3 linked regions of the Xenopus tropicalis genome follow. The protein of the gene in region 2 interacts with the protein of the main gene of each other region in a pairwise test. Links are inferred from orthologs where the notes say so. Each region holds a gene or a part of one and is shown on either strand. Other genes may lie near its edges.

What was found.
Region 1: the proteins of hpgds (region 2) and meltf interact in binary tests that used the Homo sapiens proteins (3 or more experiments, as listed by UniProt). The two-hybrid records come from large-scale screens. The link is inferred for Xenopus tropicalis from reciprocal best matches to the Homo sapiens genes HPGDS and MELTF.
Region 3: the proteins of hpgds (region 2) and abhd17a interact in binary tests that used the Homo sapiens proteins (3 or more experiments, as listed by UniProt). The two-hybrid records come from large-scale screens. The link is inferred for Xenopus tropicalis from reciprocal best matches to the Homo sapiens genes HPGDS and ABHD17A.

Annotation. Positions count from the first base shown.
Region 1 is NC_030681.2:106,114,329-106,118,513, forward strand, and holds the start of meltf (melanotransferrin), read right to left. Parts: upstream 2,889-4,185; 5' UTR 2,828-2,888; coding exon 2,785-2,827; intron 1-2,784. UniProt on the Homo sapiens protein: Involved in iron cellular uptake. Seems to be internalized and then recycled back to the cell membrane. Binds a single atom of iron per subunit. Could also bind zinc.
Region 2 is NC_030677.2:76,717,238-76,721,516, reverse strand, and holds the start of hpgds (hematopoietic prostaglandin D synthase), read right to left. Parts: upstream 2,945-4,279; 5' UTR 2,890-2,944; intron 1-2,889. UniProt on the Homo sapiens protein: Bifunctional enzyme which catalyzes both the conversion of PGH2 to PGD2, a prostaglandin involved in smooth muscle contraction/relaxation and a potent inhibitor of platelet aggregation, and the conjugation of glutathione with a wide range of aryl halides and organic isothiocyanates.
Region 3 is NC_030677.2:98,290,558-98,294,803, reverse strand, and holds the start of abhd17a (protein ABHD17A), read right to left. Parts: upstream 2,839-4,246; 5' UTR 2,268-2,838; coding exon 1,954-2,267; intron 1-1,953. UniProt on the Homo sapiens protein: Hydrolyzes fatty acids from S-acylated cysteine residues in proteins. Has depalmitoylating activity towards NRAS. Has depalmitoylating activity towards DLG4/PSD95. May have depalmitoylating activity towards MAP6.

The sequences.
Region 1 (4,185 bases), on a different chromosome or scaffold from region 2:
GGAAATTAACAATTCATGCCTAATTAGGAACAAAACGTAAGGTGCCTTTACACAGGCAAATATTAGCTGCGGACTCACAACCCTTGGCAGAGTTGGTAGTTCATTTGCCCATTTATGGGCCATCAGATTATGTTAAGAAACACCCATTGGCCAAGGAGCACATGAGGCTATAGCTAATGCAGGGATCCCCAACCTTTTTTACTGGTGAGCCACACTCAGATGTAAAAAGTGTTGGTGAGCCACACAAGCATGTAAAAATGTCTTTGGGGGTGCCAAATAAGGGCTGTGATTGGCTATTTGTGATTGTTGCTCCCGAGCCACTGGTTGGGGATCACTGAGCTAATAACTGAGGGTCAGATTTACTAAAACTATATTTTTATTTTAAAATTCAAATAAAGTCATTTCTGCAAATGTCTGAACTTAAAGTCTGTGCGGGAAAAATCTTGAAAAAAAAAAAAATCTGAATTTTTTGACTTGCCCCATAAAAAAAAAAGCACCAAAAATCCGAAACCTCTAAAGTTTAGAAGCAAAAGAAGAATTCTTCAGGGAAGGGACATCTGCTGTTGACTTCTACATGATCTCGGCATGTTTTAGCTGGTGAGTGGGATTCAGAATTTTAGCTGTTTGGACACATAGGAAACCTCAGAAAAGTCTGAACTTTTTTTTTTTGCGACTAAGTGAAAAACTCTTAAATCGGGTAAAAAAAATGTGATGGTTAGTAAATGGCCCCCTAAGTGTAACTAAAGGTGAATCAGCTAAAGGAGCAAGTACAGCGAGCGACAGTATAATGGGAAAAGGGATATTACAGTCGACTAGTATGGGAGGAGGCTTGAGCAATATATTTAGTGATATAAATCAACATGTCACTAAAATTATCTTACGATTTGCATTGATAAGATGGGAGTGTGTTCTGACATATAACCATCATAAAAAATCAGATATCCAACTGTGAATAATAATGTCCCTATGTGATATCTTATAATTATTAATGGTAAACAAATAGGAACTAATAGCTTAGTGCTTAGCCCTCTGTGGTATCACTTATTCTGTAACGGATGGTTGCCCATACCAATCAGTGTATATCAGGGCACTTTTAAGCATGCAAGCCGCATTTGTACAGTCAACTGAAGGTGCAAGCATTTTAAAGGGAACACTGCTGAGAACACTTTCTTGAACCCCATTTTGCTATTTATGTCTAGTAAATCATGCAAACTTTAAAGGGATTCTGTCATGATTTTTACTGTATATTTTCTATTTTTAAATTACACAGCAAATAATTCAATCTACCATCTAAAATGTTATTTTTGAACCAACAAATGTATTTTTTTGTTGTTGTAATATTGGTTTATAGGCAGCCATCTCAGTGGATTGTGCCTGAGTCTGAGCTTTTCCAGACTTGGATTTCTTACTTTTTAGTGCTATTCTGATATCTACTGGGAGCTGCTATCTTCCCACTGTTCTGCTGATCAGCTGCTGGGAGGGGGGTGATATCACTCCAACTTGCAGTTCAGCAGTAAAGTGTAACTGAAGTTTATCAGAGCACAGGTCACATGGTTGTAGTACCCTGGGAAATTAAGAATTTGGCATGTTTTCCCATGGCAGTATTCCTTTAATTACTGAACTGGCACTATACAAAGGAAAAATGTCACTCACAGGTTGAAACAGTCCTGTATGGGTTGTCAATTGTTGACACAAAAGCATGCTTATTTTATTAAGCAGTCATACATAGCAATTATTGTACTCACCATAATGTCTACAGTGAACCCTTTGGGGTTGTGTAACGGAAACATTAAATGCAGAAGGTTTGCTTTCATTACCACTCCTTTCTATAAAGGTGTTGTTAGTTTAGCTTAAACAGTCATTTACAATAAGGCTGGCTGCAAGCTTGGTTATTACTGTGCATTTTCATACTTTATTGTATTATATATATATCACTGTACTTTGTGTTATAATCTCCTCACAGAAAATTAAAGAGGTGAAAGATAGGAAATGATGTTTGCCATTCCATATGATCTTCATACTCCCCTTTAAAAGCATTTTAAGGAACATGCCGATATGATTCCAGCAAGCTCCTCAATAAACTTCAGTCAGAGGGACAGTTAACTGGGCGAGACATATCATTGAGAAATAACTGCATAAACAAACACAACATAACATTTTATGTCTAGGGGTTTCTAACATACAAGTCCCCACTCAAGAGCAACGGTTCCTATACTGGTTTAACTATTAATCTGTTTGGTCAGCATGGGAAAGAGCTTGTAAAAAATGGCTAATCCCCTATTACCTTGAACAAGGGAATCAACAATTCACATTAGAACTCAGTTGCAGCTGAGCTGCTAACAGCCCATAGAACAGAAAGGCATTTGACTGCTCAGAGCAGTTTAATAGATTAGCTCTAATAAGTGTTAAAAATACATTTTAATATAATCAACACTATGCATTTGAAATTTTAATTATTCTTAATCCTGTAAACAAATCAAGTTTATACACACTTTTTATATTAGTTTAGGGCCAACTCATACCCTAATAACAAAAGTTCAGTTACCCTTTGTTTCTCAGACTGAAGTCAACCATTACAGTATGGGGAAGTTTAAAGATAGATTAAAAAAAAAAGTTTATTTCATTTGCTTGTTCTTCCAGACTGGATTACAGCTATGGCCTTTTATTACTGCCTGACCAACAAAGGATAAGGTAATAGCTTAATAAACTACAACTCTGCTATGTACAGAGACTGTACACCCCATGAGGAAACAGAGAAAGTTAAAAATAACTCGAGGCACTTACTTGTATGAAAGTAGAAAAGAATAAATACAATTTTCCAGATCATTTCACTAGGAGCTCCTGACTGCCACTTCTTCAGCTTTTTCGAAAAAGAACTCGGTTACAGAGAAAACCAGCTTTAAAATAAAGGTAACTGAACAGGTCTGCCCTCTACTGGCCCGGTTATGCATTCAGATGATTTAACTGCTAATAAGAAAGCAGTCTTTTACATGGACCATCATACTCTTGCATAACCTTTAGAAAGCCTTAGGCTTCTTCGTGCTGTTGTAATAAAACACATCAATACCTGGAAGCTTAGGACAAAGGTGGCAGCAGATTTAACCATTGAAGACCTAGCATTCACACAGATAATGCATGAAAATTTAATCCATTTTACAAATGTGTGCCTGCAATAAAAGTACAGGCATGAGACCTTTTATCCGAAATGCTTGGGACATGTGGTTTTCCAGATAAGGGATCTTTCTGTAACTTGAAACTCCATACCTTAATTCTACTAAAAACCATTTAAACATTAAATAAACCTAATAGAATTGGTTTAACAATTAATTAAGTAAATTATTAATTATGTCTTAAGGTGGCCATACACGTGCAGATTTTAGTCTTCTTCCGACGAATGTTCAGATATTAATTGTACATTTAAATGCAACGATCTAAAACTAACATTCAGACTGAAATTGTAGGATAAAGCCCTTAAAATAACAAATCAGAGGATGTTCTGAAAATGAATTCGTTGGCAGACACCAATCATACTAAAGTGACGTCCCACAAATGCATTGTAGGTCCAAGGATATTGTTGGAAAAACAATATATTAGCAGATTTAATTGTTATCTGACCAAAGTTTTTTAACCTGTCTGATTAACTAAATGACTGACGGCCATGGTATGGGAATTATCGGGAAGGTAAATAGGAGCCTAAACATGGTCCGAAAATTGTTTTGTACTATTATATTGGTGTATGTATGGCCAGCTTTAGTTGGGAGCAAGCACAAGGTACCACTTTAGAAAAAGGGAATATGTTTTAAAATTATTTGATTAAAATGGAGTCTATGCAAGATGGTCTTTACCATAGGTAGTAGCCTTCTGAATAATGAGTCTCCAGTTAATGGATCCCATACCTGTAGAATAATTCCTCTAAAGGACAATGAAAGGTTAATATAAATTAAAAGTAAGTCTAAAGGAATTATTTTTAAGTACTTACTGCATATCTAAATTCCCAGATCCCTGCTTGCTTCTCTGAGATATGGTGCTGGCAGCCTACAGCAGTGTGAAGACTAAAGTGACATCACTGAAATCTCTCTCCCCTTCCTGTAGGTGCCAGCGGCAGCCTTCCTATTCTCTGAACATGTGTGTAACTTGATCCTGTCTCCTGTTCTGAGCTACACATGCCCACCAGCCAATCAGAAG
Region 2 (4,279 bases):
TCTTCTAGGAATGCATTGTACAAAATTGCTGAATCATTTCCTTGTGTGATTTTTTTTTCTACTTTGCCACAGCCTAACAAAAGATAGTAGGGGCCTCAGGGAAAGATCACCAGTACGTTACAATACTTTCAAGCAACACGTGAACATCCTTTCATTTAAAGATCTGAAATATACATTATGGCATTTGTTCTTTCCGAATTTATTTTAATTTTTTTTAAAGGACAATAATAGTAATTTATACATCATATGTCTAACAAAATTTGTACAAATGATGAATGCATGGCTAAAATAAAGTAATATTCAGTGGTGCCTTGGCTAATTATCAAAATGACCATTTTAATAAATTGGTCCAAAACCACTCAGAGAACAGAACCCAAACGGCTTGTTGTTCTGTTCCTAGCTCACCAGTGACCAGAACCATGTACAATAGAAGATGCTCTGCTCTTGCCTTCAACTGCGCATGCTCCAGGTCAGCTTGTGTATTATTAAGAGGTACATGCAAATAGCACAGTATTGGAGAGCGCAGGTGGTGTAATTTTATGGGTGGGGGGAATCGGGAGGGAACATATGTTGTCTTACAGCTTTGCTTGTCCTTTAAAACTTACAAATATTCATTATTGTAATGAATAAGATGAATCATTAGATCAGGTACATAGAACAAAGAAGACTTTCAATCCATAAATTAACAGAGCCAAATTAAAAGGAAAAAAAAAAACCCTAGTCCAACCACCCAGTTTCTAGATAGCATTGTCCGTTTGGTGGTATGTGGTTCACCTAGCAGAACTGTTCGGTATGGATAGCAGCGCTAAATCTTATTACTTATGCAAGCAAGTTAAACCCTAAAAAAAAAACCAAAAAAACTTTAATGACGTAAAAGTATAACCTAGGACACAAAGGACACAAAGGAATGAAAGCATTCTTCTAACGGCCTCTCTCCCAACCCATCCTATGACTTACCTCCCTGTACCCTCAGGAAGTCTGAAAAGTTTCTTTAAAAAAAAAAAAAAAAAATTGTCTTTTAGTGTACCTCCTTCAGCTGTACATGCTCTATGTCACCGAACAGAAAAGGACCCAATGCAATGCAAGATGGAGACTATTAACCCTTTTTAAAGGAGGTGCACTAGAAGAGATGTGTCTTTCCCTCCCTGCACCACCAGCTTGTGTGTGGGGATGGAGACCACTGGACTAATGGCCACAAGATCACTCCCTTAGCTGGGGTCTGTTACATTTTACCCTGCCCCACAATTAGTAAATGAGCCCTAATAACTCACAGGTCTATTCTATAGATAGGCAGTGATTGTAACTACTCTTTAATGAATTGCATGCATTAATGGTTAAAAGAATGGAAATAAATGAGATATTAAGATTTGTGTATACACACAAGTAAATTGCCAAGTTCTCCACATAAGGGCATTTATAATTAATATTTAAACTGTGTGTGCATCAATATAGTCTGTACCATCTTTATAGTGGAAAGGAAAAAGAAAAAGTTGGTGGCAAGACAAGTCAACCTGAAGAAGAGAAAGATGATACACAATTACTTTTACTAATATCTAAGGAATTCCTTTCAGTCTTTAAAGATATAAGGTTCACAGCTTGCCCCAATCATATAACTATGTGTATAGGTAACCTGACCTACAGTAAAATATGTTTGTACATTATCCCTGTTTACATTTCAAACTATAGAAAAAGATCAGACAGGTTTTGAAAATCAATTATGCATTTCAGCCCCAAGAGGTAAAATAAGTGCAAGTAAATGCTTAACTTTGTAACAGCAAGTGAACAATTGTTAGGGGTCAAAGATTAAAATGAAGGTGGAGCCTTTAAGGTTAGAGATATTTAAAACTGCAGATTATGGCCGGTGTGGTAACCTGCAAGTTACCTACCCTTTCACCATTTCATTATTCAGCTAATATGTGGCGTTTGTTTGCAAATGTATTAATTTTCTTACATTGACATTTCATCTTACTTTTGCTTGCTGGCTCTGCTACAAAGTTAGGAAACCAAGTACAGAACACAATGAGATTCCTATACAGTATTGTAGCTGCTGCAGATACAAACATATATATATATCAAGTTACTTTTATATATGATTCGAAAATGCTAAAAAAGTGCAGTTTGGAACACAGATACACAAAGCTGACACTTTTACTAAAAACAGAAAGTGCTGCTTCCCCTTCCATTAATATCTGTGACAGAGAAAGAGCAGTGACACACAGGGTTATTTCCAGCAAACTGCTGCCTGCTTGATTTGGTGGGTGGTAAAACAGCAGAATTCTCACCGCTGTTTAAAGGGAATTATAAATATAATGTTTAAGGATGAATTCAAGCAATTAAGTGAACAGTACCTCCAGACAAACTCTGCATAGTACAGAACTGTATAGCTGCTTGGATTTAGCGAACTATACTGTGACACATATACATCATCCAGGTATTTGCCAGCAGGTGAGGCAATGCACTTCTAAACAATGCAGGTTGCTGGGCTGCACCATTTTTTAATACTAAATATTAAAGCAGCCCCTCTATCTGGATTCACCCCCCTCTCCACACACATACACATACATGTATACATATGACCTGTACATGTAAGGAGCCCATGTCATATACGTTATATGAAATACTATATTCAATGCTTTGCTAAATTAAGGCTTTTTGGTTTCATAAATGATTGTTCAATATAAAATAATTGTGTGTACTCTAATTTTCAACTTGCAAAGTACAAACCAAATCTGTAAATGCCCATTACTAAATATGAGCTCATTATATATCTACAATTCCCGCCCTGCAAACAACATGATACTTCTGATAACCTAGCATTGTAGGCTAAAATGAATACATGATATACTTTTCCTGTAAAGATTAATAAGCAAAGCTTTCTAACAACGTTACCTCAGGAACACAATCTGACCACAAAACTTCCTCTGCAAGCACTCAGGCGCAATGTGATTGCACGGCGCTGTAACTGGAGATTTATAGCAGCAGATGAGGAAGTGCGCAAGCTCCGCCCCTCCCCGAGCCTAGGAACCAGAGAGTGTACAGAGTGCCCTCTAGTGGAAAAGAAAATGCATTCCATTTATTCTGTAGCTTTTTTTCAGAACATTTTTAAGCAGTGTTGGAACCGGTGGAAATGTACATATGTAGTGTTTCTTGAAATATTTGCTGTTCATTCTGTTAGAAACAGTTTTTGGTAGAGGTATAATTGGGAATAAGTACAAGCTAGTAAGGAATAAGTATACAAAGTATTAGTGCCTAAGTAAATATGAGAGGAAGGGTTTGACGCACATAGTTACGTTTGCTTTTTAATACAAGTGCTTTTGGATGAGCTCAGCATATATTTCTCTATTTCAATATATTATGTATGCACTGACAAATGCACAGAAATGCAGCATGTTGTGTTTTAAAAAAATTAAGTGTGCTAAAAACTCAGATCTGAATGTTCATGTGTGCAATCAGGTAAGAATAAAATGGAATCACTAAGCTCATGCATTTAGCTGCTCTCACATCTGTATTTCAGACATGTGAGTATGAGTTTGAAGCCTGTAAAGACTTTTAAGGCTCTGTCTTGCACACAAAACCAGTCTACCCATGAGGTGGCTTTTTTATGCATTCCCCATGGAAACACATAGGGGCACATTCATTAAAGTACGACAGGGCTGAATACAAAAAAATCGTATTTTTTCTAAAGTTTACAACTTTTGCATATTTTCTGCTATATTTTCGTTAATTTGTGCAACTTTTTCGTACTTTGCGACAATTTGCTTGACAAAATCGTAATGAGTACGAAAGTTTCGGATTCATTCAAGCTTCGTTATCATGACTTTCCTTGGGCCAGGTTGGAGCTGCAGAGTGCCACTGAGTCCTATGGGAGGCTTCCAAAATCATAAAAATCAGAAAGGTTTTTCCGTATCGTTCGGATACGAAAATCAGATCGCCATTCGCAAACAATCAATACGAAAATTTCGGATCGTAAGTACAAAATCTTCGTATTCAAACAAACTGATTTTTTGTGATATTTGTTCTGAATTTGTCACGCTGAAAGCATTGTTAATTGCCTAGTAAATTGTTTAGTAAATGTGCCCCATACTGTAGGTTAACTTGAGTCTCTGCTATGGGAATTGTATCCACAAGATGCCATGTAAAAGTTGAACTCTGAAATTGTGTAAATCTAATTCAGTATTCAGCATTCAGTGCACCTTTGCAGGTACACTCCTCCTCATAACACCTGCTGCTCTTTTGCAGGTTGAAATTAGTTGGGTTTGGTGGGCTAGCATACAAACAC
Region 3 (4,246 bases), about 22 Mb from region 2:
GTATGCAACAGATATTCGTTTAACCTGTTTTTCAGTGATTTTAACAGCACCTTTAGAACAAAGCATCTGCCAGAATAAACAAACCCATCATTTTCATCAGAGCTCCACAACATATCTGTTTTGAAAAGATGTGATACAATCCCTTTAGGGAAAAAAATCTTGTTTCAAGTTAACTTAGTCCCACTTTTTTTTTTTTCACAAACACTGACGCAAAACTGCTTGACAACTCAGTAGCCACACCTGTATAATCAACATTCTTGGTGTTGCTTGCTGTAGGGCAACCAAGCATTTTAAAGTACCAGGTATGGGATTCATGCTGCAGAAGCCTTGGCATCTGAAGTTTTTAGCATATGGAAATACACTTAATATTAAAACATCACATGACTGTTTGCCATCATTATGGTTTTGTTAGCTTAGCTACAATCAAGGACAAAGTACAGTCTAATTATTACAGAGAAAAATCAAATAAAATAATATGCTTGTGTAAAGCTTACAAATGTTGGTGGGGGATTTAAATGGTAGGTGTATCACAGCTGACCTCCAAACACAACAATCCCCTAGGCAAAGAAATGTAGGTAGAGTGGAGGTACAAAATTACCCTCTGCTTTTTATCCTGTATAGTACAATATGGTGGCAGGTCCCCAATAGCTGTGAAACTATTAAATGACCCTGCTAACAAAAGAAAAGTTTACTGGATTACAATGGTATTGAGCCCACATCCCTTTACAGAGCACAGATGCCACGGTATGCCAGCAATTACTTCCAGCAATTAGGTTGCAATCACTGGGTAAAGCCGGATCTTCTATGCCACTGTGAATGCCACCAAAACCTATACTCTTCCAGCCAATGAAATATACTGCAAATTGCTTTAAAATATGCCAAGTAGGTTAATGGTTAATAAAATTATGATAATACTTACAATTACAAAAGCAATACATTTTAATGGAATGTTTGCGTAACAAACTTTTGATACACACCTATATCTCACATTCACCCAAAAGAACTGCGCCTTATTTTTATGCAGTCACAATGATGAAACCTTCACACTTATATCTACCACCAACACCCCAGTTGGTCCTCATACAGGTCACATTACAGCCTAGTGTGATTCTTGTCTTGGGGGAGCTTCTGTAATGTTCAAACAGGCCCAGACTGGCAATCTGTAGATTCTGGCAAATGCCAGAGGGGATGCTGTAAGTAAGTAAGTAAGACAGGGGTCCCCAACCTTTCTTACTCGTGAACCACAGTCAAATGTAAAAAGACTTGGAAAGCAACACAAGGATCATAAAAGTTCATGGAGGTGCCAAATAAGGGCTTAGATTGGCTATTAGGTAGCATCTATGCACACTATCAGCTTACAAGAGGCTTTATTTGGTAGTAATTCTTGTTTTTATTCAACCAAAACTTGCCACCAAGTTTGGGGGCACTAGAAGCAACATCCAAGGTGTTGGTGAGCAACATGTTGCCCCTGAACCACTGGTTTGGGATCACTGCTGTAAGATGCCATAGAACAGTGATCCCCAACCAGTGGCTCCTGAGTAACATGATGTTACTCCCAGTATACCCAAAGTAAGTCTATTTTTAAATATCTGGCTTGGAGACAAGTTTTGGAAGCATAGAGACAACTTTAGTCAAAAGTTGCAGGCCAGCAGTTCACATGGGGCTACCCAATAGCCAATCACAGTCCATATTTGGCATCCCTAAAAAATTGTATTATGTTTGTGTGGCTCACCAACACTTTTTACATTTGAGTGTGGCTTACAGGTAAAAAGGTCGGGTGAAGAACCCTGCCACAGACAGTCACTATTTAATGGGGTGGCAAGGACTGTTTGTGCCTCTGTGGATATGAAATTCCAGGCCTCTTTTAAGTCCAGACCTGCCTACAAAACATAACCAGATATTGTTTTTTTCAATCCAGAAATCAGAGGCCTTAAAGCTATCCTGCTTTCATACCTAGCACCAGGCGCACAACGTATGTACATGCAGGCAATCCTATTCCCACGACTGCTCTTGGTCATAAAAACTTCTATGCAGTCCAGTTCCCGCTGAGTGTATTGAAAATCTGCCCGGTCTGTGAGGTGTAGTTTCCATCTCCCTAGGACCCCAGTTCCAACTCGTCCATTCCCTCCGGCTGGCAGGGCATCTGGCTCTGGTATTACAGCATAGGTGGGCTGGGGAGGTACAAAAGCCAGCTTTGCAGCAATTGTACCAGGACATGGCGGGCAACAAAAAACGCAGCACAGCTCCTTGATTGAAAATCCGTTCATTTCCTAATACTATAATAACAATTATAATAAAAATGTCCTACATCTAAATGACTACGAATACAAAAAAGGAACTTTAACAAAATGACTATGTTTTCACTGGCTTTAAAAAAAATAAAAACAGTGGTTAATAAAAACTCATGATCCCAGTTCAAGGGATTAGCCGAAATGATACGATTTTAAGCCAGAATTGCTGGTGTGGTGTAATATTTCCATCTTCTTATGCAGCGACTCAGTTCAGTAAATGAAATATTAGCAGCTTCTTGCGAGTGGGACAGGAGACGGACATGCCAGCATTAGACACTGCGCCAAGCTCTATGAGAAAGCAAAGTGTAGTTGTATCAGTCTGATACCACAACGCGACTATTCCGTGTTCTTAGAACTGGAGTGACAGGATCCGCAAGCGCCACAGTTAGTAGGGTGTCCCCAGGCACGGCGAGCTGGGCATTACATATCCCCTCACTCGGGCTCTCAAACCTACGTCACTCCTGCTATCCTACATCGCTAGTCACAGTAAAGCTGTCGCTGTCTCAGTCAGTAACAAGAGCTGTCCGACGATCTCTCGCCGTCTGTGTGATTTCCCGGGTGCCGGATGTGACTGTGTCTTTCAGACTGGAAGTGACGATTAAAGGGAGACACAGGGAAAGAGGGATAACAGTGCAAGCCGAGAGAGGCGGGATGGACCGGACAAGCCGTAGGAATGCTGCTCATTATCAGGGGTATGTACGTGAGTAACACTATCCACGTGGTCATTCCGCGTTACACATTGACCGTCCGGTGTGAGTAATGCGCCAGCAACTCGTTTATTAATGTTAATAAACAATTCCTTCAAACGGTAGTCATTTGTCATAATTGCCGCTAATCTTTAAGCATTCTAAATAGAGCGACGTCAACAGATTGGAAATCCAACCTGTCGCTGTTTTGTTTCCTTGTTGTGTTTACATGGCACTGAAAGAGAGGCTGTATTCTTTAAGAGATACTTAAAACACTATTCCGACGTCCATATGGATACCTGCAGTATATATATTTGGCTCAGAACACATAGGTGTTGTGTATGCTGGTGTATTTCAGTCCAGTGTTGCACTGGCCCAGCAGGAAAACTAGTGGGCCCAGGTGTCAGTGGGCTCTCCTGCTCCTGACCATTTGGCCTGCTTCATGGTCTTGCCCTATTCCTGTATGGGACCAAAGAGGAGAAATAGATGGAAGAATAGATGCTAGCATGTAAATAAAAGAGACTAGGGGAAATTATAGTTTGGAGAGTGGGTCTAAGGTTTTAAGGTTCTAAGGTTATAGTCTAAGGTTTTCTGGTGGGCCCCTGAGGGCCCAGTCCGACAGTCCCCATTAGCTCAAATAGGAAACGCCTGCACTGGCTGTGTTTAGTCTGAAGATGGTCAAGTTTTTCAGCTATGGTTGATACATGGGATGTTTTGCACTGCCGTCCCAGCTGTGGAGGGAATGCCCTCTTCATCAGTCTTCACTCTGAATACTAACAAATAAAAGGTTCCCACCTGTCTAGTTTGTTAACCTTCTGCCCAGTTTTCAATATCAAGGAAACTGTGCAGAAACCTTCATAATTGCATCTAGTGGACACAATAATCCCCAATACCAACATCCTCATGTCGCCAAATACATAATTAAATTATGTCATCACGTGCTCCCTTTGTCCGGGTAAATAACCTGACAAAGGTGGCAACCCTAAGATTCCAATTAAGCCCTGGTATTTCCAGTACACAGAGGTCGGGCAGCCCCTCTGGCATTTGCCAGAATCAGACGATTGCCACAGGCCTGTTGTTGCTGAGCTCTGTTTGACACCATGTCACTTTTCAACGTTTTGTGCAGAAGTCAGTCTATCACTGCTTCATGTGCATTCAATAGAGCAAGTTAATTCACTAATATCAGGAGAGTTGAAAGACGAGCATTTCAATCACCACTGCTCTTTGCCAGAGGGCATGGCAACAATATTGTATGTTTACCCATACCAT